Kluyveromyces lactis: one gene and its partner. The protein of the gene in region 1 interacts with the protein of each later gene in a pairwise test. Links are inferred from orthologs where the notes say so. Each region holds a gene or a part of one and is shown on either strand. Other genes may lie near its edges. The genes, in order: APM1 and APS1.

Evidence for each region.
Region 2: the proteins of APM1 (region 1) and APS1 interact in binary tests that used the Saccharomyces cerevisiae proteins (3 or more experiments, as listed by UniProt). The link is inferred for Kluyveromyces lactis from reciprocal best matches to the Saccharomyces cerevisiae genes APM1 and APS1.

The regions. Positions count from the first base shown.
Region 1 is NC_006040.1:1,215,238-1,218,721, reverse strand, and holds APM1 (Apm1p), read right to left. Parts: upstream 2,149-3,484; coding exon 817-2,148; downstream 1-816. Other genes in the region: thioredoxin peroxidase DOT5, read left to right, coding at 1-574; telomerase subunit EST3, read right to left, coding at 2,439-2,993. UniProt on the Saccharomyces cerevisiae protein: Component of the adaptor complexes which link clathrin to receptors in coated vesicles. Clathrin-associated protein complexes are believed to interact with the cytoplasmic tails of membrane proteins, leading to their selection and concentration.
Region 2 is NC_006042.1:2,118,723-2,121,304, forward strand, and holds APS1 (Aps1p), read right to left. Parts: upstream 1,015-2,582; coding exon 544-1,014; downstream 1-543. Other genes in the region: KLLA0_F22792g (uncharacterized protein), read left to right, coding at 61-423; DPH5 (diphthine synthase), read right to left, coding at 1,407-2,303. UniProt on the Saccharomyces cerevisiae protein: Component of the adapter complexes which link clathrin to receptors in coated vesicles. Clathrin-associated protein complexes are believed to interact with the cytoplasmic tails of membrane proteins, leading to their selection and concentration.

The DNA of each region.
Region 1 (3,484 bases):
ACCTTTAGATTCCGAATCTGCTGAACCCATCAAGGTAAAGGCAAAGACAGAATCAAAGGTTACCAAGCCAAACGGAAAAAAAGAGGTTAAAAATGAAGATAGTGCCAATAAGCTAGCTGAGTTGCAAATTGGTGATGACATTCCTGATCTAACTCTACTAAATCAGGATGACGAGCCGATATCGTTGAAAGAAGTTGCCTCCAAGAATAAATTAGTGGTGTTCTTTGCTTATCCAAAGGCCAGTACACCTGGTTGTACTAGACAAGCGTGTGGCTACAGAGACAATTATAGCGAATTGAAGGAACACGCTGCTGTTTTTGGACTAAGTGCTGACGCTCCAAAGTCTCAGAAGAGTTTCCAAACTAAGCAAGCCTTGCCTTTTGATCTATTAAGCGACCCTAAACGTGAATTTATCGGAGCTTTGGGTGCTAAGAAGACAGCTGTTTCTGGTGTTGTCAGATCTCACTGGATCTTCAAGAACGGTAAACTAGAAGTGAAGAGGGTTCAAGTTTCACCTGAGGTCAGTATTGAAGAAGGTAAGAAAGAGGTTTTAGAATTGGCCAAGTCTTTATAAAACCCAGTGGCTAACATAGTTACTGACGATCGATTTCTCATATGTAATAGTAAATGTCAAAGGATTTAAACATAATTGAGAATGGAAAAAGATTTATATTACTATATACACACATAAGATCAGATTGAGTAGCGTTTCTCTCAAGGGCGTTTCATTTTTAATTGCAAATGAATCTTTCTCCTCATATAAGCACTGATAGATTAGAGTAGGATGGCCAGAAATTCTTCAAATCATGGTCACTTTCACAGCCTGATGGTGTAATCGTCTCCGCTCTGCGTAATGTAACGTACCCAAGGATAACTATTATACTGTAGCTTTGGTTCTTCGATTTTCAAATAACGAACTTGAATACCGGATGTTGTGAAATAAGGAATTTGGAATTTGATTTGTACTGGTCTTTTTAATTTTGGTGGTTCAGCATCAGAGACTGAGGGCAACCCCAGTTGCGCAGCCATTGAGTACTCTTTACCACCTTGGAAACTACTAAATTTCCATAGAATTGCATTCTTTTCAGGAACCCACTTGATATTACCACGAGAATATTTGAACGTGGGCGAATCTGCGTCTTCCGGAATCGGTATTAAAATCTCCACATTATTCGCTACTGACTTCTTTTTAATTTGTGCCTTTGCCCTACAGTGAATCTCGATACGAGACCCTGAATGTACCTGTACCTTAACGTCACACCATATCAAAGGTTTGATCGGGGTAGAGAGTCTATAAGTCATTAGATCAAATTCCCCATCAGGTGGGATGAACGTGATAATCTTTTCATTCTCAAACTTGCTCAATCTCACACATTGATGGAATTTTAGATCCTCAAGTTCTATATTACTATTCTTTTTCTTCGAAGAAACTACAGGTTCAGGTGAATCTTCTTGATCATTAGTTGTGAAAATACCTTTATCATTCAAACCCAATTTCAAATCAGGCATACCAGATAAACGGGATCTAACTTTGACAGTACCCAAGATCTCAGATCTTAATACTTGGCCCTGCTGTGTCATTAGCATATTGATCGATTCGATTACATCCAAGAACGCTTCGTTCTTCTTGTACTTGATACCCTCTGGTCTCCAACTGACAGAATTGGTCAATTCGGTTGGTGGTCTAGCCACATTCTTTTGCTTCTTCGCTGACCTAGTCAATTTGAATGACTTCTGAGTAATATACTGTTTCAACATTTTCGTTTCTGTCACTTGCGGAACGCCTTTATCCATCATTTCGTCTAAAAGTTCGTATATGATAATATAATTATCTCTGATTGACTCTTCTTCCACCCTTTTCACGTACTCCTCAACTACATTGATCAACTTGTACATGAAGGCGAACATAGTGGTAGCATTAACGGATACTGACCTGGTCAATGCTAGCACGTAAACATCGTTATACTGCACGTACATGTAGTGAATCCCATTGTGATGGAAACAAGGAGGCATGACACTGCTTTCCTGTTCTCTTTCTAGTAACAAATGCTGGAACGATTCGACAGCAGACTGTGAGACATCATCTTGGTATCTTCTCGAGAGTAGTGGCTTACCCTTTGAATCACAAAATGCAACGTACGAAGCCATTATACTGGTATCTTTTTAAGAAATGTTGCCTCCTGAAACTCCACCAAAGAAAGAGCAAAAAACACACTAGTGATACTGCACAATTGGTTACTATACAGGGTCCTATACCGATATATTAGTGTACGGTTTGGCTATTACTTAGATTGTTCATTGTTCAGACACTATTTATAAATGTAGTTTCGAGATTTCAATGCTTTGGATACCGAAATTTCACTTATTTACAGCGGTACACCACATACACGAGGTGCTAAATTGCATCTAACAATGCGAACACTCGGCAAGAGAGACCTTCAACCATGAAGTGTGTCATATACCCATTCAAATTGGACATTGGACGAGATCTGGTCTCTGTCAAACATCCGGGCCTTTTCAATCTTGAGCACGGGGACCATTCGAAGTCCAGGAAAATCCTGATTGAACCATAATTTGCACTCTCTGTGGTTCCAAAACTGTAGGGTTACATTGCCGATGACGAACAACGTATTCAGTGTATTCAATGTGATCCTATCATTGTTTATAGTTTCGTAATCTAGCACGCAGTCTACAGTGAAGTAGCATAGAATTAATGCTGTAGAGTCTCTAATCGTTGCATAAACGGTGTAATCGTTTACTCTATGGAATTTAACAATTCTGACGAACCTCTGAGGTGCGGGATTCAAAGCCGTTTGGAAAGCTGACTCTATGATATCATGTTCTAGTAAGTCCGTTACCAGTTCACGTTGTTCTGGCCAGAATTTCGTCTTTTCATTCTTTAAATAATAAGGCCTTACCGAAGGTTTAATCCATTCCTGCAAGAACACTGAATCATTATTCGTTAATCTTGAAGAAAGTACAACATTGGGCATGTGAGGATTGATAAGGTTAGAGTCTCTGTTCAGTGTATGTTAATAATGCTTCTCTGTTTCTGTACTACAATGGGTTTTAGGATGAGATTGTACCTTGATACAAAAATGTAAAAAAATTCCTCCGCGACGGGGAATTGAACCCCGATCTCGCACGCGACAAGCGCGAATTCTAACCATTAAACTATCGCGGAATAGTAAATTCGATGAGAGTTTATTGGACAAAATCATAATCCACGTGGCAAAAGTAGTCATGTGACTAGCTATGCAAAAATGTTAAAAAATGAAACGGACAGGAATTGAACCTGCAACCCTTCGATTGCAATTTTGTTTCCTTGGAAAATTCCCAGAATTTAACTGGAGTCGAAAGCTCTACCATTGAGCCACCGCTTCATTCTTGAAACATTTACGACAAGAATAGAATATAACCGACTTACTTTTGTCATGTAAAAGGGGCCACAGATGACACAATAGGTTCTGGTAAATATGCTTTA
Region 2 (2,582 bases), on another chromosome or scaffold:
ATATAGTGATTCAAGAGATTGCTACGAACTATAGAAGGGGTTTTAACTAGAAAGAAAGTAATGACGCTAATAAAGATGTTTGCAGCTAGACAAGCCATAGGAAGATTTGCATTGATACAGAACAGAAACTTTCATGCTACGCCGATGAGATGTTATAAAAAATGGAATGAACTAAAGAAGGATGATAAGCAGGAGTTCATCAAGAATTTCGTTCTTTTGTACAAAGAAAAGCATCCATGCAGTAAGAGTAACGTAATGTACAGGGCGTTGGCCAGTGAAATGGATGAATACGATGATACCCCATACGTATTTGGTGTTTTGTACAATGAGATTAGGGCTGTTGAAAAAGGCGAATCTACTGATAACGAGAAAGGTGTAGGTGCGATGGGGGATGCAGATTTTGTAAAACTATTGTACAAGTAGAATTGTTGAGTTTCCGTACATAAAGAAAGAAAGGATAATATATTGTACATATTCACAATTTAATTTAAATTTCTATTCATCTCGGTCAGTATCACGTCAATTGCTTGAATGCATGCATTCTCAACTCAATACCCTATCAAGGTCATCATTTGATTCAATTGCATCCATGGCCTCCACAACATGTATAACTTCATCTTTACTAGTTTCTATTATAGATCCGTCACACATTATCATTTCATCCAATATGCTGTATGCCTTGCTAAAATTGAATATGATATCTAACTCGCAGACGTTCCCAAAATATCTATCCATAGTTTCCACAAATCTGTGTATAATTTCTAAAGTCAACAATTCGTTGTCCGAATCCAAATCAATCCCTGCAATGAAGTATAAACTGGCATATTTCTTGTACACGACTTTGTGATCTTGATATTCTAGAATATTGCACATTTTTGACTTCCTGGACAGTACGTTAGTCGTCACTTCCCTTAGTATTTTATGCTTGTACTTTATATCGAAGGGTTGATACCATCTGATTAACCTAGTCTTGCCTTGCCTCGACGTGAGAAGCATGTACTTAATCTGTGACATTTCAATGACCTTTTTTGTTTATAACGAATAGGATAGCTTTTGTCTCTTAAGCTCGGTGGTTGTGGTATTTAATGCCCTTGTTAATCGTTTATCCGTAGTTTCTCGGATACACCAATTGAAAAGTTGTAGAGCTGAATAATAACCTTAATTTTAAAACATCAACTGGGACAGAATTAGACTTAAACTTTGATTCTAGTGACCTGTTATTCTTTGTTTGTTTTCTTTTGCTTACATGCTGATTCATTCGATTCAGTTACGTTATTACATTCATGTTATATTAATAGTTAATATAACGAAAAATGAGAATCACCGCAGACGACTTTGCATGAAGCTGAAGAAGCGGATACACAAAGGATACATGCAATATATAATTTACATATCCATGACCTGGCCTAATCTTCATCTTCTGGAGGTGGAACCCATGCTGGTGGTTTGAAATATTCTTGATCACTGGCGACATCTTGCTTGAATTTTTCTCTATCGTCACAGAATTCGAGCAAATACTCGATTTCCAATTCATGGGTTTGCCTACCGAGTATAACTAAAGAATGCAATGGTTCACCAGAATCATATTCGGCTAGCTCTTTGATGGTACCTGCTTTGAAGGTTTGGCTTGCAGAACCTAGTCTTGAGATTGCTACACAGGGAGTATCAGGAGTATATGCCTCAGTGCCTCTTGTTTCTTCAATTTCCAATAGTTGTTCACAACATTGTGCAATACTCATGTATCTTGGAGGCTCATAAATGAGTCTTCCACGAGCCATATTCTCTATACTCTGTTCCTTCACTTTGATATCTAGAAGAACCAAGGTGTGCAACCCGATTTTCCGGTTTTCCCATATCTTGTCGTACCAGGAATCTGGTCTCCAACTATCGGTGAAAAAGACCATAGAGATCGTTTGACCAAAATTGTATAGTTGCAACCCACATGATCCTACTGCATTCATAACAGACGCGTTATGGATGACTTCTACTGGAATATTCCTTTGCTTGGCACGCAACACCAAGTCAGTATGAGTGGTGGCTCCAAAAACGTCACCGACAACCAAAAACGCAACATCTTCTTTATCGGCATCACGGAGAAGTTCTTCAGCTCCCGATTCGACAAGTTCCCTGTCAGCTAGTGTAACTTTCTTGCCATAAAATTCCTCTAGTTCTTCTAGAGAAGCTGTCATCAATATGGAAGTGTAGTGCTCCAAGTACACTCTCGAACATTGCTTGATGGCATTCAAGCCTCTGACGGTGATATCTGTTTCGTAAGAAAGACCTAATCCAATAAAGTACAACATAGCTACCAAAACTACCCTCGTTACTTAAAACTTCCTCAGTTACAATTTGAAGCAGAGACCAAGCTAAGTGCAATTACTCCATTCCCTCCTGTCAACCATGCGATGAGCTAGTCATCTCGATCCACTTTAATTAAAATTTTCAACAATTCGATACGTTATGAAGTTGGGACAAAAAGAGAAAATGAATGGTATCAGCTCATATCTAACAAAATAATTGGATCTTTAGATTACACCACGATCTCTCCTCTTCAGCACTTATACCAGAACTTTGAGTATACC